Lonchura striata: one gene and its partners. The protein of the gene in region 1 purifies or fractionates together with the protein of each later gene. This does not show direct contact. Links are inferred from orthologs where the notes say so. Each region holds a gene or a part of one and is shown in the gene's direction. Other genes may lie near its edges.

What was found.
Region 2: the proteins of OTUD1 (region 1) and FLNA purify together in Homo sapiens (affinity purification with mass spectrometry; 3 studies listed by BioGRID and IntAct, with this or other methods). This does not show direct contact. The link is inferred for Lonchura striata from reciprocal best matches to the Homo sapiens genes OTUD1 and FLNA.
Region 3: the proteins of OTUD1 (region 1) and FLNC purify together in Homo sapiens (affinity purification with mass spectrometry; 3 studies listed by BioGRID and IntAct, with this or other methods). This does not show direct contact. The link is inferred for Lonchura striata from reciprocal best matches to the Homo sapiens genes OTUD1 and FLNC.

Annotation. Positions count from the first base shown.
Region 1 is NC_134603.1:139,207,365-139,215,034, forward strand, and holds the start of OTUD1 (OTU domain-containing protein 1), read left to right. Parts: upstream 1-4,152; 5' UTR 4,153-4,163; coding exon 4,164-5,435; 3' UTR 5,436-7,670. UniProt on the Homo sapiens protein: Deubiquitinating enzyme that specifically hydrolyzes 'Lys-63'-linked polyubiquitin to monoubiquitin.
Region 2 is NC_134638.1:1,279,655-1,287,885, reverse strand, and holds the start of FLNA (filamin-A), read left to right. Parts: upstream 1-4,792; coding exon 4,793-5,135; intron 5,136-8,231. UniProt on the Homo sapiens protein: Promotes orthogonal branching of actin filaments and links actin filaments to membrane glycoproteins. Anchors various transmembrane proteins to the actin cytoskeleton and serves as a scaffold for a wide range of cytoplasmic signaling proteins.
Region 3 is NC_134607.1:73,108,523-73,116,692, forward strand, and holds the start of FLNC (filamin-C), read left to right. Parts: upstream 1-4,731; 5' UTR 4,732-5,511; coding exon 5,512-5,848; intron 5,849-7,600; coding exon 7,601-7,849; intron 7,850-8,038; coding exon 8,039-8,136; intron 8,137-8,170. Other genes in the region: OPN1SW (short-wave-sensitive opsin 1), read right to left, coding at 63-405.

The DNA of each region.
Region 1 (7,670 bases):
GATGTTTTGTTCAGTATGTTCCTTCTAGTTGAAGTGTATAGGCATTTCTTCCCTGTATTGGAAGATTCTTGACATATTTTTCTATTTTCTAATAATTTACAAATTTTTTTCCTTGGTATACCACTTCAGATTATTAATATAAATTCAACATTTCATCTCCCAGCTACATACAAAAAGTTATTAATTCATGAAATACTTCAGTCAGAAATATATTTATCTGAAGGGCTGTTATGTCAGCACAAACAAAAACAAAACAAAAAAAAAATGGAAAGGCTAATTCAGTGTAATTCTCTACATAATTTTAACCAACTTCTTTCTTCACTAGCAAATGTTCCTGGTGATGTAATTAATTTGTTTCTTCTATGTCAATCATGTATCTACTACACATTAAAGTTAAAATTAGTTCTACTCTCATGCATTTCATTTTACGTCAGTGAATACCACTGTTGTTCCACAGCTGTTTTTGTGATTGTGGTTTGCCTTCTAAACAATCTAAACTATTCCTGGAATGTGCAGGGTAACCAGTGATAACAGTAATGTCAAGAGAAACTTTAACCACGGGAGATGTTTATACTTTATTACTGCAGAGATTGTTTTGAGATCTATTCTGTAAGAGCAAAGAACTTTACATTACCCTGTAATGAGTGAATCAGAAGCTCAGGAATATTACTCTGTGGAAAACAGTGAAGGGTATGTCCGTAGTGTGTTCTCCTCACTTTCCAAACACCTCTAGTGCTCGTGTGCCCATGACCTATGGGGAAAAGTGGACAGAAGTTGGAAATACAGGAGTTTTCTGGAAGTAACCGATACATGGGTTGTGTTTTAGCTGGGTCATATTAAAGGAAAATTTAGTTTTTTGTTGGAATTAACAGCAGTGCTACATGTAGCTGAAAGAAATGTTAAAGATCAATATTCTGGTAGTAAAAGGTACCAAAGTCAGAACCATGTGCCCCTGGCTTTTATAGAGACCTATTGCATTAAAGGCATTCAGATATTTTTTTGAAATTTCTATTTCACCAGAATTGTACTCATAGCACTTGATCATTCCCGGTCCTGCACCTGATGGTGGTGGATGTCCTTCCATGCAGGTGTTCAAGGCCAGGTTTTGAACAACCTGGTCTAGCAGAATGTGACCAGGAGCTAGATGATCTTTGAGATTCCTTCCAATCCAGGCCATTCTGTGATTACTCCCTGGTGTAGACCATGGTTTAGGATGTTATTGTTAAAACCTGTCAGATATCTAAGAAAATTACCTTTAGGAAGTGCTGATTCCTGGTAACTCCTAGTATGAGAGTTGAAAGCTAACCATGAGATGCTTGTGTGGCAGAGGCTCAATGGGATTTTTGTCACTGGTCATCCAGAGAGACTGGATTCCCCTCTGGCCAAGAATGTGTGACTAATTCTGGCTGCTCAGTTATGAAAAATGTTGATTGCATTACATTGTCAGTACTTAATAACAACACAGGTAAAACACACCAAGGTGAGCTTCTCTTTCCATTTACTTCACACAGGACATAATAAAGATATCAAAAGTAGTATACTATTAACATCAAGGCAGTGGTTACAATGTTTGTTTTTCTCTCTGTTACCTAGCAACAGATCTTGTTTGTATTTTAAGGTTATTAGTAAGCTTATTATGTGCATTTTAACTGAAAATTTAGGAAAGACATTATGTCTGCTTATAAGCAAAAATTGAAAAAAAGAAAATCTATCTGCTACCATTACAAAAACCTGCTGGCATATTTAGCATGTATTTCAGGATATTCTTTGGATTTCTATTCAGATAAACAAGTTTTCTTACCCAGAATCTTCTACATTAGAGCATCAGAATACTAGTACAAGGGTAATTTGGGCATAAAAAAAACTATTTCTCTCCTCAAATGAAGCACCACAAACTTCAAGTCATACCTCACTGTAACCAACAATCAGAATTAAGCAGCTGCCCACCCACTAATGTACCACTGTTCCAAATAACCTATGGTTTTGGAGAGGCAGAACAGTCATTAGCAGGAGTTTCTATATCCTAGAAGAAAGAAATTTGCAGTACTGAGCATTCAAAATGCAGCACTTGCTCCTGCTAGAAGTGCTCTTAGTCTGCTGCATCCATTTACTGTTCTGTAAGAGAAAGAGCTGCCTCTCCCTCCCCTCTCTCTGTTACCAGACTATTGAAGACTTTAAACCACCACCCTGTACTCAGCTCTGACATTTACTAGCAGACAGAACATTCACTAAACCAAACTACAGATAGCTTTTCTGAAAAAAAAAAAAAATGTAGCAAAAAACTGGCAGCATTGATATACATTTTACATCTTGATAAATGACCAAACACACAATGAAGAGCAACTGGCATGTTTTAAACCCACTTGGAAGGGGCAATTTCCAGTAGTTTTACATTAAATCTCCTATCAGTATATATATCAGCATATACATGTGAACTTGGAATATAGACATTGCCAAGTTTTGACTAAGAAATAAAACTAGACAAGAATCTTTCCTTTGCTCCAAGCCTCCATTTCAAGAAGGAAAGATTTCAATTTACTGCTATTTGGTCAATATATATTCCCCTCTAAGTAATGATTAGTCCAGAAATAAAGACTCACTGACTGGGCTCACAAACTATATTTAAAACAAAGTTCTGAACATTCTGAAATACAAGAGTCACCCTGTAATTTCAGAGCAGTTGTAATATCTTATCCCACTCTAACAGGCTGCCAGAAATGCTCCTGGATAAGGCCCATCACCATTTGTTCTAAAGATATCAACTTTTTGGCTGGCTCTGTCAGGTAACTGAGGACATTTGAACTTTGATTCATTATCAGATATACTTCTTACATTTCAGCTTTGAAGGCAAAAATTTTGGATATGTATTTAATCTGTAAAATTTTACAAAAAAGTTCTCAATATTGAATGCAATAAACTGCTGTGTCTTATCCATAACAAAAAAGATAAATATGAAAACATTTCCCATAAATATCCACATAACTTTGTATGAAGGATTTGAGCATTTTTTCTCCAATATGCAATTTAGCTGAGTGAGTCATAATATGTTTTCCATGTAAAGAGAATGAAATTCCATATTGTGTTACTGGTTGCCCTGGAATTAACTGCAGAGACCGAGGATAGGAAGTATATCCCTAAACATTGATACAAAATACAACCAAAGCTCCAAAGAAAATGATTTTGGATATTGCAGTATATTGCAACTGATCTTCTTATTCTGCCTTTTTAATTAATGGAATTAAATGGAACGAGGAAAAGAAACTTTTCAGAATATCCAAATAAAGGTTTTTTTTTTGTTGTTGTTTATTTGTTTTTAGAGTTGTACAATCTGTTTGGATTACTAAAACTTTCCTGAAGATACATGAGGCTGTGAGATGGAATCCAGAACTGTTTTTAAGTTATCACTTTGAACTTACATATGTCAATACCTTTTTTCCCATTTTGTTAGGAATGACTGTCTGTATTAGCATGTGATCATAGTGCAAACTGGTGTTTCTTGGTCAGCATGCCAGTCAGAACGCAGTCAAAATGGAGAGCGTACAGATGTCATCATTGTCCCTGGACAAAGGCTTTATGACTTTTTTTATACCGCAGCTAAGGCTAGAAGACATGGCTTAATTTTAAAGTGCTACTACCGGCGTTAATAAAACAATTATCAATGTTCTTGATGAGACCCATGTTCCAGAGCGTGTGTCTCCTGTTAACATGTGCCGGTTTATACCACGCACCTTTGCATGCATGTACTGCATTTCCCAGGGTGAGACTGCAGGTGGGCAAACAGCAGCCAGCGCCCAGAGCTGTCCCAGACGGAATGGATGCAATGACTTCTGTCCGTGCCCGCCCCGCAGAGCAGGAGCCGTGACACCGAGCACACGTAGGCCGGGGCAGGGCGGCGCTCGCTGACGTGCGGGCAGCCCCGCCTCCCTCCGCGCTCCCGCAGCTTCCAGAAGGGCCGGAGCCGCGGGGGGGCCGCGCCGGTGGCGCAGTCGGAATTGCTGCGGCCGCGGGGCCCGGCCGGGGCGGGGCGGGCGGTGATGCCCTTGTTTATTTTTACTCGGGCGGTTCATCCTCCTCGGCAGCCCCAGCGCGGCCCCCGCCGCCGCTCCCCGCCCCGGCTGCGACGGCGGCGCCGCCTATAAAGCGCCGCCCGCGGGGAGCCGAGGATGCAGCTCTACAGCTCCGTGATCACCCACTACCCGGCGGCCGCCACCGCAGCAGCCGCCGCGGCCTCGCCGAGCTCCGCCGCCGTCTTCAAGGTCTCCTTGTCGCCGGGACCCTCCGCCGCGGAGGCACCGAGCGCCGCCGACGCCGCGGGCCCGAACGCGGTCGCTGAGAGCTCCGGCAAGGAGAGCTTCGTTCCCGCGGGGGGCAGCAGCAGCGCCGCCGCCATGCCCGCCTTCTCGTCCTGCCTGGAGGTGATGCCGAGCGGCCCCGCGGCGGGGCCGGCCGGGCGGCCGGCGGGCGGCCCGCAGTTCAGCTCCTGCGCGCAGGTCACCGTCAGCCGCCGGCGGCCGCTGGAGCGGATCGTGCCCATCCGCATCGTGCAGCGCGCCGAGGCCGCCGCGGAGCTGGTGCCGGGCTCGCCGCGCAGCCGCGCCTGGCTGGAGGGCATCCTGGAGAGCGTGCGGCAGGCCGGGGGCGACGGCGAGGCGGCGGAGGAGCCCAGCAACCGCAGCCTGCGGCTCAGCGAGCACTGCCAGGCGCTGCAGGCGGCGGCCGCCGGCGCCCAGCCCGGGCTGGTTCCCGGCTGCGGCCCCGCGGAGCGGAGCGGCGGCCCCGCGCACGCCGAGCAGGAGGAGGCGGCGGGGCCCGACGTGCGGCGGGCGCCCGGCGGCAGAGCGGAGCGCAGCGAGAAGCTGGCGCTGTACCTGGCCGAGGTGGAGAAGCAGGACAAGTACCTGCGGCAGAAGGGCCGGTTCCGCTTCCACATCATCCCCGACGGGAACTGCCTGTACCGCGCCGTCTGCAAGGCGGTGTACGGGGACCAGCGGCTGCACGGCGAGCTCCGCGAGCAGACCGTGCACTACATCGCCGACCACCTGGACCACTTCAACCCCATCATCGAGGGCGACGTGGGAGAGTTCCTCATCGCCGCCGCGCAGGACGGGGCCTGGGCCGGCTACCCGGAGCTGCTGGCCATGGGGCAGATGCTGAACGTGAACATCCACCTGACCACGGGCGGCCGGCCCGAGAGCCCCACCGTTTCCACCATGGTTCACTACCTGGGGCCCGAGGACCCGACGCGGCCCAGTATCTGGCTGAGCTGGCTTAGCAATGGGCACTACGATGCTGTGCTGGACCGCGTGTGCCCCAACCCAGAGTACGAGGCGTGGTGCAGACAGACTCAGGTACAGCGCAGGCGGGACGAGGAGCTGGCCAAGTCCATGGCGGTGTCCTTGTCCAAGATGTACATTGAGCAGAATGCCTGCTCATGAGACCGCCTGGGCCGGGAGCTTCGCTGCAGGGACTGACAGAGAGGTGTGCTCGCTGTGATGGTGATGCCTTAATCCTTAATGAAGCAGCAGCACCCCAGACGGACAAAGACTGTAGGTTGCGGGGGGATAAATACAGACGTAGTTGTAATATTCTGTTGTAAAAACTTAGCCTCGGGTTATTTGCAAGCAGATTTCTCCGTGTATGTTTGTGTCTCCCCTCCCCACTGTCTGTTTTCTATGAGAATGTATTTTTTGCACACTATTTTTAAACTGTTACCTCCATCTTCTACATCTTGCATTAGTATCTGGCTTTCAGCTGTACAGCCAAAAACGTTTGTAAACAGTTTTTGTAAATAAGGCTTATGATGTAACAGCTATTTTTTGCTGTGTTTTTTACCCATAAACTTTATATTTTTACCAAATGAAGTTGATGTCAAACTGACCCCCCTAGTTGATGAAAATGTGTTTTTAAAAGTGCGGCAAAATGAGAACAGACTGCTTTTAGGAACAATTGCTTTCTCTGCCTGGAGCACAGAATAGGTCCTTTGAGCCAGTTGGAATGCAGCTACACGTGAACAGTGCAGGGAGCAATTGACTCTTCTGTTTTTAATTACTGTTTTGAGTAGACTGGCCTCTTGTTGCCTGGTTGGCTCACTCTCTGCTCCACTTACATTATTTATCTATAATAACAGAACATTAACTTGCAATAGAATGTTGTGACTAGATAATAGTCTCCTGCTTTGGCAGTAATTGCCGTGGCTGCACCTCAGTGTTTGTGTTCTTGTTTCTGGGGCTATGGTGTCTTTCGTATAAGCCCTGCTTCTTTTTTGGCACTGGTGTTTCACCAACAAGTCATTATCTGATCACAACATTTTATTCACGTGACTTTATTTTCTAATCAAGAAATCAGGAATGGTATTCTACATTATGGTTTAAAAGAAAAAAAATACTTAAATTGAGGTTTGTATGGTTTGCTGGGTCAAACATTTAAATGTCTCCAATCTGGATTCTGTCTCTTCTACTTTCTGATTAACTTGTTAGATATATTTATTAAGTAATGCAGTTTGTACTTTTTTATTTTGTAATATATTGTGATTTCGGAATTTATACTGTATTTGTATAATAGGAATATTCACAGCTAAAATGGAATGAATAAAGAATATAATTTTACTTGTGCTCTTCTTTTCTGCCCTGTGCATTCCTGGTGTGGGGAAGAATTGCGGGTGGGTTCACAGGATCTTTTATAGCTTCTCTGCCTTAGTCTCTCCTACTGAGAGGTGGGAAGAAGGGGTGTGGTACTTTACAGATGTAAACCACTGATAATTCTGGTGTCTGTTAATATGTGAAAGAAATGCAGGCATTTAAAGACAATTAAATATCTAATTATTTTCTTACTGCAAGAGATCTTAGTATATGTGTTTGCTAGTGAGAAACCATTTCCTATATTAATATGCCTTAGAAGGGGAATTCTCAGGCATAGTTTGTGAGCTCGTGGTGCCAGGGTTGGTGGTGAGCCAGCTCTGCTGGCCTGTGCACACGTGGGCTTGGACATTGGTCTTTGGGAACCTCCATTCTGCAGTTAGCCCCAAACTTGCTCGAGGTTTGTCCTGTCAGTAGTGATACCTTGGCACCCTCTTGTTACTCAAACACAGTAATGTTACAGGGAGGTACAGCTTTCTACTCCCCTTGCAAGATGGAAATGCCTTCCAGGTTGTTTAAACATGTTTAGAAAAGTGCACGTGTGTTTACAAATCAGTCCCTGATCTCAAAATGGTAAAACGTCTTCATCCTTAAACAACAGAAGGGTACTAAAGTTATGATTAAAAAGTAACTAAATAGCTGAAATGCATCAGTCTTAGTTGAGCACCTGTGATAGATCTGCGGGACTGATGTATATAATTATTACTGGTTTATGTGGTACAAAGAGTAGATTTAAATATTATGTTATTTTCAAAGCATTGGTAAATAGAATATTTTTATTTAATAGAGTATGTAAACAGTGGTGGAAAACCCCCAGTCTTTCTAGTCCACTGCTGCTTAACCCATGAATCTTCGGAAAGCTGAATTTTGAGGTGAGAGCATGGCAAAGATGCAGTCATGGATCTGTTCATAAGGAACAGAGGTAGTTTATAGGGAAAATGTCTATTCACATGACTAAAAATAAAGATATTAATACAGCATTACTAAACGTCAATGATGTGCTGACTAATTAAAAACATTTTATCCAGGCTGCTA
Region 2 (8,231 bases), on another chromosome or scaffold:
CCCCTGTGACACCCTATGGATCCCCTGTGACACCCTATGGGATCCCCTGTGACACCCTATGGATCCCCAGTGACACCCTATGGATCCCCTGTGACACCCTGTGGGATCCCCCGTGACACCCTATGGGATCCCCAGTGACACCCTATGGATCCCCTGTGACACCCTATGGATCCCCTGTGACACCCTATGGGATCCCCCGTGACACCCTATGGATCCCCTGTGACACCCTATGGATCCCCTGTGACACCCTATGGGATCCCCAGTGACACCCTATGGATCCCCTGTGACACCCTATGGGATCCCCCGTGACACCCTGTGGATCCCCCGTGACACCCTATGGGATCCCCCGTGACACCCTGTGGATCCCCCGTGACACCCTATGGATCCCCTGTGACACCCTATGGATCCCCTGTGACACCCTGTGGGATCCCCTGTGACACCCTGTGGGATCTTGGGGGTCCCTCGTGCCCCACAGCCCCTTCCCCATGGTCCCCCCTGCCCTATGGAGCCCCTCATGGACCCCCAGGGAGCCCACCCCCCACTTTGGGGTCCCCCTGACCCCCCGACCCCAAAGTGCCCCCATAACCCCCCCCACCCTATGGGTCCCCCCCACCCTATGGGTCCCCCCCACCCTATGGGTCCCCAGAACCCCTCCCCCCATCCTCGCCCCGCCCAAATCCCACCCCAGGGGGGTCCCCGGACCCCTCCTCATCCTCACCCCAAAAATCCCCCATAGCCCCCCCTTTTGGGGTCCCCATAAATTCCCCCCTCCCCAAATCCCCCCCAAATCCCCTCCCCACCCCAAGAGCCCCCCGGATCCCCCCCAAATCCGCCCCTCCCCTTTTATGGGCTCCCCAAACCCCCCGGGTGCCCCCCAGCCCCTCCCCAACCCCCCCCCGCAGTCCCCAGAGCCCCCCATGGGGGACCCCCCGACCCCTCCCCACCCCAAGAGCCCCCCCAAACCCGCCCCTCCCCCTTGATGGGCTCCCCAAATCCCCCCTCCCCCCTTTTAGGGGTCCCCGGGCCCCCCCCAGCCCCTCCCCGGCCCCCCCGGCCCCCCCCGGGGCGGGGCTCGCTCCTCTCGTTACCAATTAAGGCTCCGCGCGCGCCGCGCGAGCCCCCGGTACCGGCACCGCCACCGCGCGGGGCCACCGAGCCCTCCCCGGGACCGCCGAACCATCCCCGGGACCACCGAGCCATCCCCGGGACCACCGAGCCCTTCCCGGGACCGCCGAGCCCTTCCCCGGGACCACCGAACCATCCCCGGGACCACCGAGCCCTTCCCCGGGACCACCGAGCCCTTCCCGGGACCACCGAGCCCTTCCCGGGACCGCCGAACCATCCCCGGGACCACCGAGCCCTCCCCGGGACCACCGAACCATCCCCGGGACCGCCGAACCCTCCCCGGGACCGCCGAGCCATCCCCGGGACCACCGAGCCCTTCCCGGGACCACCGAGCCCTTCCCGGGACCACCGAGCCCTCCCCGGGACCACCGAGCCCTTCCCGGGACCACCGAGCCCTTCCCGGGACCGCCGAGCCCTCCCCGGGACCGCCGAACCATCCCCGGGACCACCGATCCCTTCCCAGGACCACCGAACCATCCCCGGGACCGCCGAACCATCCCCGGGACCACCGAGCCCTTCCCGGGACCGCCAATCCCTTCCCGGGACCTCCGAACCCTTCCCCGGGACCACCGATCCCTTCCCGGGACCTCCGATCCCTTCCCCGGGACCGACACCGGCACCGCTCGGATCCGCCCCGGGACCGCCGGGTCCCGAGCCCCGAGGACCACCGAGACCGAGCAGCAGGTGAGGAGCCCCCGGGACCCCCGAGCCCCCCTCAAGCCCCGGGGACCACCGGGGCCGCCGGAGCAGCGGGACCGGCACCCCTGGGTGGCGCCGACCCCCCCGGTCCCGACCCCTGACCCCCGGGACCCCCGGGACCCCCGGGAACCGAGCCCAGAGCCCCGAGTAGCCCCGGGACCCCCGCCAGGATCGCGGGGTTTGGGGGGGCTTTGGGTGGGCGGGGGGCGCGAGGGGGACCCCGAGTTTGGGGCTCCCCCGATTGGGGCTGGGGGACCCCCCAAGGTGTGACCCCGATTTTGGGGTCCGAGACCCCCTTGAGAGCCCCCTGGGGGCGCGTTTTGAGGGAACCCCTAAAATGGAGCTGGGGACCCCCAAATGGGGCTGGGGGAACGCCATAACGGGGGACCCCGATTTTGGGGGACCCCCTTGAGAGACCCCTGGGGGTGCTTTGGGGGCTGGGGACCCCCTAATGGGCTTGGGGTACCCCTCTGAATGGGACCCCCCCCCCCCTTTTTTGGGGGGGTCTGAGGAGCCCAGAGTGGCTGGGCCCCCCTTTTTGGGGTGGGGGTCCCCACTTGGGGCCACCTTTGGGGTCCGGGGGACCCCGGGAATGGGAAGGGGGCAACAGGGTGGGGACCCTCCCCTGACCCCCCCAATCTGGGGCCAATGGGGCAGAGCCGGGGGTCACCCCAAATTGGGGCACCCCTAAATGTTGGGGGAGTTTGGGGAGGGTCTCTCATTGTGGGGGTCCCATCATTATTGGGGTCCCCCATTATTAGGGTTTCTTCTTGTGGGCATCCCCCATTTATTGGGGGTACCTCATTATTGGGGTCCCTCCTTTTGGGGGTGCCCAGGTGAAGATGCTCATGGGGTCCCCCACTCTGGGATTCCCCCATTATGGGGATCCCCCATTATTGGGGTCCGTCATTACAGGGATCCCCCATTATGGGGGTACCCCATTATTGGGGTCCCCTGATTGTGGGGTCCCTTACTCCAGGGATTTCCCCATTGTGGGATCCCTTCATTTTGGGGGTCCCTCACTATGGGATCCCCTCCTTGTGGGGTTCCCTCGGTAATGGGATCCCTCATTTTGAGGGTCCCCCATTATTGGGATCCCCCGTTTTGGGCTCCCCCATTATCAGGATCCCTCGTTATTGGGGTTCCCCATTGTAGGATCCCCCATTCCGGATCTGCCCGGCTGCCACATCCCCCATTATTAGGATCCCCCCATTATTAGGATCCCCCCATTATTAGGAACCCCCTTTTTGGGATCGCCCGGTTTGGGCTCCCCCATTATCGCAATCCCCCATTATAAGGACCCCCCATTCTGGGCACCCTAATTTGGGCTCTCCCCCATTATTAGGGCCCCTCATTATGGGGTCCCTCATTATTGGGGTCACCCGTTATTAGGGTCTCCCGTTTTGGGGTCCCCCATTACGCACTGCCCCATTATTGCGATCCCCCATTATTAGCACCCCTCATTATTAGCATCCCCCTTTATTAGGATCCCTCCTTTTGGGATCCCCCCTTATCGGGATCCCCCATTTTGGGGATCTCCCATTATCAGGATTCTCGTTATTAGCATCCCCCATTTTGGGGATCCCCGTTATCCGGATTCCCATTAGTAACATCCTCCATTTTGGGGATCCCCGTTATCCGGATCCCCGTTATCAAGATTCCCGTTATCAGCCTCCCCCATTTTGGGGATCCCCGTTATCAGGATCCCCGTTATCAGGATTACCACTAGTAGCATCCCCCATTTTGGCGATCCCCGATCAGGATTCCCGTTATTCGCATTCCCCATTTTGGGGATCCCCGTTATCAGGGTCCCCGTTATCAGGATTCCCGTTATTCGCATCCCCCATTTGGGGATCCCTGTTATCAGGATTCCCGTTATCTGGATCCCCGTTGTCAGCACCCCCATTTTTGGGGATCCCCGTTATCAGCACCCCCATTTTGGGGATTCCCGTTATCAGGATCCCCGTTATGTGGATCCCCGTTATCAGCACCCCCATTTTTGGGGATCCCCGTTATCAGCACCCCCATTTTGAGGATCCCCGTTATCCGGACCCCCGTTACCAGCACCCCCGTTACCAGCACCCCCATTTTGGGGATCCCCGTTATCCGGATCCCCGTTATCAGAACCCCCGTTACCAGCACCCCCATTTGGGCATCCCCGTTATCCGGATCCCCGTTATCCGGATCCCCGTTATCAGGATCCCCGTTATCAGCACCCCCATTTGGGGATCCCCGCTCTCCGGACCCCCGTTACCAGCACCCCCGTTATCCGGATCCCCGTTATCAGCACCCCCATTATCCGGATCCCCGTTATCAGCATCCCCATTATCCGTATCCCTGCTCTCCGGATCCCCGTTATCCGTATCCCCGTTGTCCGGATCCCCGTTACCAGCACCCCCGTTATCAGCACCCCCATTTGGGGATCCCCGCTCTCCGGATCCCCGTTATCCAGATCCCCGTTATCCGGATCCCCGTTACCAGCACCCCCATTTGAGGATCCCCGCTCTCCGGATCCCCGTTACCAGCACCCCCGTTACCAACACCCCCGTTACCAACACCCCCGTTACCAGCACCCCCGTTATCAGCACCCCCATTTTGAGGATCCCCGTTATCAGCATCCCCGTTATCCGTATCCCCGCTCTCCGGATCCCCGTTATCCGTATTCCCGTTACCAGCACCCCCATTTTGAGTATCCCCGTTACCAGCACCCCCGTTACCAGCACCCCCGTTACCAGCACCCCCGTTACCAGCATCCCCGTTATCCGGATCCCCGTTATCCGTATCCCCGTTACCAGCACCCCCATTTTGAGTATCCCCGTTTCCAGCACCCCCGTTACCCGCACCCCCTTTGGTCCCCCCCGTCCCCGCGCTGCCCCCTTACCCCGCTCTCCAGCTCCGGTTTCTCACCGCCCCTCCCCTCCCTCCCTCCCTCCGTCCCTCCCCGCAGCCGCCCCGGGCCGGCCCCGCGATGAGCGCGCCGGGCGGGCGGGGCCGCGCGGAGCCGGGAGCGGAGCCCGAGATGCCGGCCACCGAGAAGGACCTGGCGGAGGACGCGCCCTGGAAGCGCATCCAGCAGAACACCTTCACCCGCTGGTGCAACGAGCACCTCAAATGCGTCCAGAAGCGCGTGGGCAACCTGCAGACCGACCTGGGCGACGGGCTGCGCCTCATCGCGCTGCTCGAGGTGCTCAGCCAGAAGCAGATGGGCCGCAAGTACAACGCGCGCCCCACCTTCCGCCAGATGCAGCTGGAGAACGTCTCGGTGGCCCTGGAGTTCCTGGAGAGGGAGAACATCAAGCTGGTGTCCATCGGTGAGAACCTCCGGGGCGGCGAGCGGGGCTGGCCGGGCGGCGAGCGGGGCGGCCCCGGGGGCGAGCGGGGCTGCGGAGGAGTTGGGGTTTTGGGGGGGGGGATGAGATTCCAGTGGTTAGTTTGGTGAGGAAAGGGTGGAAATGGGTCGGGAAAGGGTCAGAAATTGGGGAGGGGGCGTGAGAACAACCCCCAACTGCCCCCGGAAAGTTTTGGGGGTTGGGGAGGGGGTGGGGGCTGCGGAGGAGTTGGGAATTTGGGGGTGGGGATGAGATTCCAGTGGTTAGTTTGGTGAGGAAAGGGTGGAAATGGGTCAGAAATTGGGGAGGGGGCGTGAGAGCAACCCCCAACCCCCCCCCCTCCCCCCCCGGAAAGTTTTGGGGGTTGGGGAGGGGGTGTGGGAGTTAGTGAAGAGCTGGAATTTTGGGGGGGGGGTGAGATTCCAGTGGTTAATTTGGTGAGGAAAGGCTGGAAATGGGTCGGGAAAGGGTCAGAAATTGGGGAGGGGGCGTGAGAGCAACCCCCGGAAAGTTTTGGGGGTTGGGGAGGGGGTGTGGGAGTTAGTGAAGAGCTGGAATTTTGGGAGGGGGGGTGAGATTCCAGTGGTTAGTTTGGTGAGGAAAGGGTGGAAATGGGTCAGAAATTGGGGAGGGGGCGTGAGAGCAACCCCCAACCCCCCCCGGAAAGTTTTGGGGGTTGGGGAGGGGGTGTGGGATTTAGTGAGGAGCTGGAATTTTGGGGGGGGAAATGAGATTCCAGTGGCTAATTTGGTGAGGAAAGGGTGGAAATGGGTCGAGAAAAGGTCAGAAATTGGGGAGGGGGCGTGAGAGCAACCCCCAACCCCCCCCGGAAAGTTTTGAAAGTTTTGGGGGGGTGTGGGAGTTAGGGACGAGTTGGGATTTTTGGGGGGAAAATGAGATTGGAGTGGATTATTTGGTGAGGAAAAGGTGGAAAAGGGTCAGAAATTGAGGAGGGGGCGTGCGACCACCCCCCCCCCCTCCCGGAAATTTTTGGGGGTGGGGGGGTGTGGGAGTTAGTGAGGAGTCGGAATTTTGGAGTTTTGGATGAAAAAAGGAGGTTGAAATGGTGAGGAAAGGCTGGAAACGTCTCAGAAGAGGGTCAGAAATTGGGGAGGGGGCGTGCGACCACCCCCCAAAAAAGTTCAGGCCGTGGGGAGGAAGCGGGAGTTGGATTTTTTTGGGGAGAAAAAAAGGCAGAAATTAGATTTTTAGGGTTTTTTTGATAAAATGGTGGTGGATTCGCCCTAAAAGGGTCTCGGAAATTGGGGAGGGGGCGTGCGACCACCCCCCAAAAAGAGCGTGGAGCTCGGGGTGGGGCCATGGGGGGAGTGGCAGTTACGGAGCGTTGAAATTTTTTTGGGGAAAAAAAAGGAAATCTGAGCGATTTGTGGTGGTGGGGAGGGGGCAAAAATACCCCCGGAAGGATGTCAGGAATTGGGGGAGGGGTCGTGCGACCACCCCCCAAAAAACCTCCGAGGGGGTTCGGGGCGGGATGGGGGGAAACGGGAATTGTGGAGAAAATCGGATTTTGGGGGGAAAAAGGGAGATGGGAGCGGTTTGTGTTGCTGAAAAAGTGGAGAATTCTCCCCAAAACGGGCTCGGGAATTTGGGGAGGGGGCTCCTGGAGGAGCCGCGGGGGCTCTGAAATTTGGGGAGGGGTCCGCTGGGGGACCCCCCGGCCGGCGGAGGAAGGGGAGGGGTCCCTGCGAGAGGAGGAGCGGGGCGGGGCCGGGTGGGGAAAAAGCGGCGAATTCTCCCCAAAATGGGGCCGGGAATTTGGGGAGGGGGCTCCTGGAGGACCCCCAGAAATGGGGGGGGGGGCAACTGGGAGACCCCCAGAGCCCAAAATGGGGAGGGGTCTCTGCGGAAGGGAAGCTCGGACTGGTTTTAATGGTGAGGAGGGGGCGGGACCCCGACCCCAAAAGGCCCCGGAAATTGGGGAGGGGTCGTGGACGAGCCCAGAAATTGGGGGGGGGTCCCGCTCCCAAAAATGGGGAGGGGTCTCCAAGAGGGGGAGCATCCAACTGGTCCCAATTGGGGAGACCCCTCCCCAAAAAACACCCCGAAATTGGGGGGGGGGGTCCTGGAGAGGGCAAACCCCCTTCGATAATTTGGGGGGGGGTCTCAGGGGGCGCAGAGACCCCTCCCCAAATAACCCCAGAGTGATGGGGAGGGTCCTGAGACCCCTCCCCTTTATGAGACCCCCCCCGGGAATATTTTGGGGACCCCCCCCCACATTTAGGGCGGGGCTTTGGAGGCTCCTCCCCCCCCAAATCCCACCCTGGGGGGGGGGCTCCGTTTGAGACCCCCCCCCAAATTTGGGACACGCCCCTAAATTAGACCCCCCCCCAATTTGCGACCCCCCCCCCCCCACATTTGGGACCCCAAAATTAAAGGGGGAAGGTCCTGGAGACCCCTCCCCTCTTAGGGGGGCTCCCCCTTTTACAGGGCCCTGTTTGGGACCCCCTCCCCAATTTAGGGTCCCCCCTCCCCAATTTTGGACCCCCCCCCCAATTTAGGCTCCCCCCTCCCCCAATTTGGGGCGACCCCAAAATTAAGGGGGGGTGGGGGATGGGGGGGTCCGGCCCCTCCTCCCAGCGCAGGAATTTGGGGAGGGGGCGCCGCTCGCGGGGCTCGGGGGGGTCCCGAGGGGGTCCCGGGGGTCTCGGGGGGTCCCGGCGGTTTTTTGGGGAGGGGTCCCGGGGGGGTGGGGCTGGGGGCGGGGCCTCGGCTGTGGCCGAGCCCTTATAAGGCCAAAAAATGCTGGAGCGGGGGGGGAGGGGCCGCGGCCCTTCCCCCACCGGCCCCGCCCCTCCCCCTCCCCCCAAAATCCGCCCCCAACCCCCCCCGGGAGGGGGCGGGGCCGGGCGGGGCCCCTCCCCCCCAAAAACCGCGCGAGGGGGGCGGGGAGCGGGGCTGACCCCGGGGGGATTTGGGGACCCCCGGGAAGGGACCCCAAAAACGGGAATGGGGACGGGGCGCGGCTGAGAGCCCAAAAAAACCCAAAAAGGGCCCCAAAAATCCCAAATGTGACCCCAAAAATCCCAAATGTGACCCCAAAAACGGGAATGGGGATGG
Region 3 (8,170 bases), on another chromosome or scaffold:
CCCAGTGGTCGCTCCATCGTCTCTGGCCACAGCAGCCTGAGCGCCCCATGGTCCCCTCGTACCTCCGGTGGCCCCTGCAAAGCCCTCAAAGGCACACATGTGCTTCCCGAAGACAAAGTATCCCTGGGAGCTGGCGATGAAGACGGTGAAGATGCAGAAGACGCAGCACATGAGGCCGGCAACGGAGATGTTCACCAGGATGTAGTTGAGCGGCTGCCGCAGCTTCTTGTACTTGATGGTGACGATGAGGACGATGGCGTTCAGGGGGGTGCCCGCCACGAACACCAAGCCCATGAAGATGGTCTGCAGGTAGAAGGCCCACACGGGCGCGATGTGGTACTGGGGCCCATCCCAGGGCCCCACCGACGACTGGTTCTTGAACAGGTAGAACTCTTCCTCGTCCATGGTGGCGCTGGCGGGGGGGGCGCCCACCCCCCTGATATACCCTGCGCCCCCAAAGCTGCTTAGGGGGGATCAGGGCTCAGCCCGGCCAAACTTGGGGATTAGGGTGGGCTAAACCGGGCTCAGCCCCTAATCGGGCCCCTGAGCCGGGTGAGCCGATTGCTGGTGCTCTGGAGGATTGGGGGGGGGGGGGGGGGGGCAGAAGGGCTCCCCCCAACATCTGGGTATGGGGAGGGTCCCCAGGGGGCTCCAAGCTTGATCCTGCTCCTCCTGAGGTGTTCAGGTGTCCCCAGGTGTTCCCAAGCCCAAGGCTTGGTCCCCAGCCTTAGTTCTGATCCCACCAGGGTCCTCAGTGTGCCCCAGGGGGTCCCCAAGCTGTGTCCTGGTCACCCCCAGAATGGCCAGGTGCCCCTAGGATCCCCAGGGGTCCCCAGGTGCTCCAGCCTTGATCCCACTCCCCCAGGGTGCCGCAGCCCTGGATGCTTTGGGAAGAACTTGGAGTTTCCTCATGAACTCACCCGCTGCCCCCCACCCCAGCACCCCAGGGTGCCCCCCAGGTGTCTCCCCTCTCAAGCAATTGTCCCCAGTTCTGGGCTTGGGGCATCCCTGTGCTGGGGAGACTCCAAGTGAGGTGTAGGAGTCTGGGGGTATCAAGGGGTGGGGGGAAGACTGGGGGGGCACTGCTTGAGGTGGGGTGTCTGAGAGGGGGTGTTCATTTTGGGGGTGCAGTGACAGGGGGTCATGGATGGGGGGTCACTTTGGGGGTGTGCTGCTGGGACTTGAGTCCCAGAAGACTCCCAGCGTTTCCTGCCCTCCCACCCCCCTCTTTCCCTCCCTCAGCCTGTGGCACCCCCGGGGAACAGGAAGGATGAACAGAAGCTGCTTAGGGAGGGATTACAGTGCCCCCCCGGGCTGGGGGCGCCTATAAAGGCTGGTGCAGGGACCTCACTGTGGCACCCCGGGACCCCCAGGGAAGGGGGATCTCATTTGTGGGGAGGGGGACACCCTCAGGGAACGCTGTGCCCTGAGTGTGTGGGGGGTGCCCACCCTGGGGTGTCCTGGGGCACCCTGAGCTTCTGTCCAGCTCTGGGTCAGAGATGGGGCCAGGGAAGGAACAGGGGGATTGGCTGGGCTGAACCCCCAGCCCATGTTTTACTGGGCTGTACTGGATCATACTGGCCTGTACTGTACTGGTTTGTACTGGGCTGTACTGGACTACATTGGGCTGTACTGCACTGTATTGTGCCATGGCATTGCACTGTGCCCTGTTGGGTTGTACTGGGTTTGGTCATACTGTACCAGGCTCTACCGGGCCGTACTGGGCTGTACTGGGCCGTACCGGGTAGGGTCAGCTCTGCTGGTGCTCTACTAGGCGTCCCATGGAGGGGCACCCCCAAATGGGTGCTCCAGGGTGGTGTCCCAGGGTGGTGCCCCAGGGTGGTGACCCAGGGGACAGACACCCCACAAAGGGTCCCCCCGCTGTGTCCCCTGTGGAGCCGCGGCCACTGTGGGCACTGTGGGCTGCGGAGAGGGCTACAGCGCAGGGGCTGTGGGGGACGGCAGAGCTGGGGCACGACGGAGCTGTCAGCCTCGGCAGGGGCTGCCCGGGGGGGTTTGGGGTGCCCATCCCCACAGGTGTCCAAGGGAGGCCTGGAGGTGGCACCCAGGGTTCCGGGACAAGGAGAAGTCAGGCACAGCTTGGACTCCATGGCCGGGAGGGCTTTTCCAGCCTCAGGGGCTCTGTGGTTCTGTGATTCTGGGATTGTGGATGGAGCAGGGAAGGGACTTGGGGGATGCTGGGCATGGAGCTCCGGGGCCTGCAGTGGTGGTACTGCCCTGCCAGGACCCCCCACACCACCAGTGCCCACCACCAAGCCCCCAGCACCCACTGGTACCGGCAGCACCACCTCCACACGGGACCCATGGCCCCCCAGGCCCCCCAGTGCTCTGTCTCCAGCCCCATGGCCCCCGTGGGACTCCTAGGGCCTCCAAGTCGCTGCTCTTGTGCCCTCCTGGATGTGGCCCCACACATGTCCCTGCTGTCCCCATGGCCACGTTACCTGTGTCCCACTGTCCATGTACCCCTCGTTCTCGTGTCCCTTATGTCCCTCAGCCCTGGCCCCATGTCCCCATGGCCACGTCCCCAGTGCCCCCCTCTTCCCCTCTCTGTGCCCCCAGGCTGCCGATGACCCCCTCCCCATGTCACCCCACCCTGAGGACCCTGAGTGCTTCCAGCCCCAGTGTCCCAAGGAAACAGCTGGGGACAGGCTGGGGGGACGCTGGACTCAGGATGTCACCACGGGCAGCAGTGTTTCTGCCCTGTGTCCCCTCCCCAGGAGACACTGGCGGGGTCAGGTCCTTTGTCCCCTCGTGGCCTCCACCGTCATCTTCCTCTGCCCTGGCTGTGGCAGAGCCGAGACCCTGGGGGACACTGGGATCCCCCTGGGTCCCCCTGACCTGCCCCAGCAGCATCCTGAAACCCCATCCTGGAGTGCACTGACCCCCCCGCAGTGCCCTGACTGCTCAGAGCCCCCTGGACCACCCTCGACCTCCCCAAACATCCTGACCCCCCCAACCCACTCGCTCCCCTTCCCACACCTGCCAAGGGCTTGGGGGTCCTGGTGAGGGACCCTGTCGCGTTTTGCCCCCACCCCTGTTGGTGCCCCCCCGGCCCCTGCCCCAGGTATTTTGGGTGATGATGTGTTGGGGGCGCCCCCCCGCGTGCCCCCCCGGGTATTTTGGGTGCCGGTGCGTGGCTCTGACTCGGCAGGTTATTTTTAGGTGTTGGCGCAGGCGCCACCGCGTCACCCCCCCCACGTCACCCCCCCACGTCACCCCTTGTCACCCGTTGTCACCCCGGGGTGCACCCGCACCGCCCCCCCTTCCCTTGGAAGCTTCCAGGCAGGCACCGGAACAGGGGGAACACGATACTCCCCAAATCGCCCCCCCAAAGGACCCAGATGTGGGTCACCCGAGTGTCCCCCTGCCCCTCCCAAGGGAGCTGAGGAGGCCGCGGGTGTCTGGAAAGGGGGGAGGGGCACAAGAGAGATTTGGGGGGCAGAGGGGTTTAGGGTGCACCCCAAATATGACCGAACCCCCTCCCCAGGCTTGTGCCATTGTCATGGGGAAACTGAGGCATGGCCAGGGGGACCCACGGCTGGAGTCACCGGAGGGAGTGGGGTGCAACCGAGGGGACTGGGTGGGGGTTCCATGGCAAGAGTGGTCCTGGGGGGGGGGCTTCCCCAGAGGGGATCCTGGGAGGGTTTGTGGGATCTCAGTTGTGCCCCTCGGGGCTGGGGGAGAGTTTTTATGTGTTTTTCAGGGGTTCCCAAGGGGAAAGGGATGAGTGAGGGGGTTCGAGTAAGTTTTGGGGGCGTCTTTGGGGGGGTTTTGGGATGCGTTGTGCTGTGGGGTGCCTGGGATGTTTGGGAATTAAGGTACAGGTGTATCAGGATAACAGGGTGTTGGGCTGCCTGGGCTATAGGGTGCTGAGGTTTTGGGGTGTCGAGGTTGCAGGTATTTGGGATTATTATGGGTGGATTCTGGATTTTGGGGGGCCAGAGTTTCAGGGGTGTCTGGGTGCTGGGATTTGAGGTACCAGGGTTTCAGTGTAGGGAGGCTGGGGTGCCTGGGGGCCGAGGTTTGGGGGTGCTGAGGTTTGAGGGTGCCAAAGTTTAGGCGTGCCGTGGTTCAGCGTGCAAAGTTTGGGGGTGCCAGTGTCTGGGGGCAGGGGGTTCTGAGGTGGCAGAGTTTAGGAGTTTATGACACTGGACTTCAGGGAATTCGGGGAGTTTTGGGGTGTTGGGGTGCCAGCGTTTGGGAGTTGGTGGGTGCTGGCGTTTTGGGGTGCTTGTGTTGGTGAGTGTCGGTGTTTTGGTGGGCCGGCGTTTGAGGTTACAGCGGTTTTAGGGATGTCAGAGATTTTGGGGTGCTGATGTCTGTGCGTTTTTGGAACTGCCACTGTTTGGGGGTTTTGGGAGTGCCGCGGTTTGGGGGAGCTTTGGCCCGGGAGTCCTGAAGTCGGGGGGCTCCGGGGTGTGCTGGGATCCGGCGTTTTGGGAGGTGCCGAATTCCGGGGTTTTGGGGGTGCCGGAGTCCGGGGGTCCGAGGTTTGGGGAGCGCCGAAGTCCGGCGGTCTTGGGGGTGCCGGTGTCTGGGGCTCCGGGAGTGAGGCCGGGGCTGTAAATAGCGACGGCCGGACCCCCCACCCCCGGCCGCTCGGGCGGTCTTTCCGTCCCTCCTGCTCGGTCCCTCCCCGGGACGGGGCGGGCCGGGCCGGGGCAGCGCTTAAAGCCGCCGCCGCCCCCGGCCCCGCCACTTGCCGCCGTCGCCCCTGGCCCAGGAGCGCTCCTGGGACGCCTCGCGAACACACGGGAGCCCGCCGCGAACGCCGCTCCGGGAACTAATCGGGAACCGACCCGGGAACCTACCGGACCCCCCAGCCCTCCGGGACCCGCCGCTCCGCTCCGGGAACGCACCGGGAACCAACCCCACCACCGGGAACTTGCACCGGGACGGACCCAGGACACCAGCCCCCGACCCCGGGAACAGGAAACCCTAGCCAGGACACCAGTACCGAGCAGCGAACCCCTCTCGGGACACCGGCACTGAGACGGGACCCCGTCCTCAGGCACCCGTCCTGACCCCGGGGACCGGGACCCTCCCTGGGCGCCGGGACTGACCGAGGACACCGTCCCCCATCGCCGGGAACTGGGACCCCATCCAGGACACAGACACCCACCCAGGAACCGGGACCGACCCAGGACTGAATCTCCCAGCACCGGGACCCCATAGCGGGCACCAGCACCCACCCAGGGCCCCGCCCGGGACACCAGCTCTGACCCAGGACACCGTCCCCAACCCAGGACATTGTCCCCCAGCGCCAGCTTTGCCACCGGGACCCAGAACCCCACCCCAGGCATCCACAGGACACCGGCACCGCCTTGGGACCCACACCCACGGTGCCAGGATCCCTTCAGGACACTGGGACTGACCCACGACCCCCGCCCAGCACCAGAAGTGAGCCAGGGCTCCCCCCCAACCCTCTCAGGACTCTCCACACCACCCAGGAACCCCTCTGCCCATCGAGGACCCACCGAGCCCTCCAGGATGAACTCTACTTACGAGGCAGCACCGGGAGAGGACCCCGAGGAGCTCCCGGCCACCGAGAAGGACCTTGCAGAGGACGCGCCCTGGAAGAAGATCCAGCAGAACACGTTCACGCGCTGGTGCAATGAGCACCTCAAGTGTGTGCAGAAGCGCATCGTGGACCTGCAGCGCGACCTGAGCGACGGGCTGCGCCTCATCGCGCTGCTCGAGGTGCTCAGCCAGAAGAAGATGGGGCGCAAGCACCACCCGCGCCCCAACTTCCGCCAGATGAAGCTGGAGAATGTCTCGGTGGCCCTCGAGTTCTTGGAGCGGGAGCACATCAAGCTCGTGTCCATCGGTGGGTGTGCAAGGGAAGCGGTGTCCGTGGGTGGGTGGGCACAGGGCGGGTGAGGGTGGAAGGGGAATGGGAACGGTGCTGGAGGGTGGAAGGGGAATGGGAACGGTGCTGGAGGGTGGAAGGGGAATGGGAATGGTGCTGGAGGGTGGAAGAGGAATGGGAACGGTGCTGGAGGGTAGAAGGGGAATGGGAACGGTGAGCGGGCAAGGGCAGGGCCAATGGACAAATGGGAATGAGGAATGAGTGTGTAAGGGTGGGCATGATGTGGGGATGGGAAATTGAGGGAGAGTATACGAGGGTAGGGGTGGACAAGTGAGGATGTGGATGAGTGTGTAAAGGGAGGGGAGGGATGGGTGTGAATAGGGTGAGAGTGCAAGGGTGGGGAGTGGAGGAGTGTGAGTGGAGAATGACTGTGCAAGGAGCATGATGGACAAATGAGGATGGGGCCGTGGGTGAGTGTGCAAGGGTAGGGTGATGGATGAATGGGAATGAAGGATGTGTGCAAGAGTGAGGCCGACGGACAGATGAGAATGGGGATGCATGTGCAAGCGGTGGGGTGGCAGGAGCAGGAGCGGGATGAGCGTGCGAGAGCGGTGCAGCAGTGGGAATGGGGTGAGCGTGCAAGGCTGGCGGGGCTGCGGGCGAGTGTGCAAGGGGTGAGTGTGCGGGGGCGGCGCGGTCTGCGGGCCGACCCTCGCAGGGCGTGCGGAGCGGGGGGGCCCGGCCCGTGCAGGGCCGCGCAGGGGGGCTGAGCTCACGCTTGGCTCGGGGCCGCGGCGCTGAGCTCACGCGCGGGGGGGCCCGGCCCGCACACGCACCCACCCCTCGCGGGGCCTCAGCGCCCACCCCCACCCGACAGCTGCAGGGTGACCCCCCCCGCGCACACGTCCGTGCGCGGCCCCCCTGGCACGCCCGGACCCGGGGGGTGCGAGACCCCCTCCCGCGGTGTCGCCGCCCCCTCCCACGCGCGTCTTTGCCCCCTCTCGGGACGCCCCCAGATGTGACCCCAAGTTTTGGGGAGCTCCCAGGTGCTGCCCCCCCGGAGCACCCGGCGGGGAGGGGTTTGTCCCTCCATCTCCCCCATTTCCTCCCTGAAACGCGATCGCTCGTGGGGGGAAGTGGCGGGGGAAGGAGCGGGGGAGGGTCAGCTCCGCAGGGCGGTGGGGGAGGGACCGGGATGCCTCGGACCCCCCTCCCCCCACAGCCGTCCCCTGCCTCAGTGTCCCCCTTCTGGCACTCCAGGAATCCCTTGGGAAGGTCAGGGGTGTGGCACTCCAGGGCGCTCCCTTGGGGACCCCGGCTGCTGCCAGGGTTGTGCCCCCCCAGGCACTTCCCGGGGGTGCTGGGTCCCCGCAGGGTGAAGTGCTCGGCATGGACAGGGCGCAGTGTCGTGGGTCATCCCTCGCTTCTGTGCCCCGGGGTGTCCCCAGGCAGGTGTTGGGGTGCAGCGTCCCATGGCACCGCCTGGGGTGTCGGGGTGCCCCGAGACGGGTGCTGGGGTCCGCCCGTTGTGCCGTGGGATGTCGGGGTGTAGGGGTCCCTGTGGTGGTGCTGTGGGGTTTGGGGGTGCCCCAGCCGAGTCCCCCCATTATCCCCATTCCCAGAGACAGCCGGGACACGACCCTGAAGCTGATCCCGGGGCCACAGCTGTGCAGGTGCGAGGATCCCTCCAGCGGGTCCCAGGATGTCGGGGTACCCCGGGGGGAGTCCCGAGGGATCTCGGGGTTCAGCCTCCCCGTTTCTCCCCCACAGACAGCAAAGCAATCGTGGACGGGAACCTGAAGCTGATCCTGGGGCTGATCTGGACACTCATCCTGCACTATTCCATCTCCATGCCTATGTGGGAGGAAGAGGAGGACGACGAAGGCCGCCACCAGACCCCCAAGCAGCGGCTGCTGGGCTGGATCCAGCACAAGGTGCCGCAGCTGCCCATCACCAACTTCAACCGTGACTGGCGCGACGGGAAAGCGCTGGGAGCGCTGGTGGACAACTGCGCCCCGGGTGAGGAGCGCGGCGGGGCGGGGGCGTGGGGGGACAGATGGGGGGAGAACTGCGCCCCGAGTGAGGGTACGAGGTGCAGGCTGGCTCGGGGGGCACCGATGGAGATGTTGGGGGCAGCAGGCGCAGAAGGGGGAGGTGGAGGACGGGGGTCAGGACAGGGGTGCGCCCCTGACCCTTCTGGCCCTCCAGGTCTGTGCCCAGACTGGGAGAAGTGGGACCCCAACAAGCCGGTGCAGAACGCTCGGGAGGCCATGCAGCAGGCAGACGACTGGCTGGGAGTCCCCCAGGTACGGGCATGCTGGGGGGTGTGGGGGGCACTGC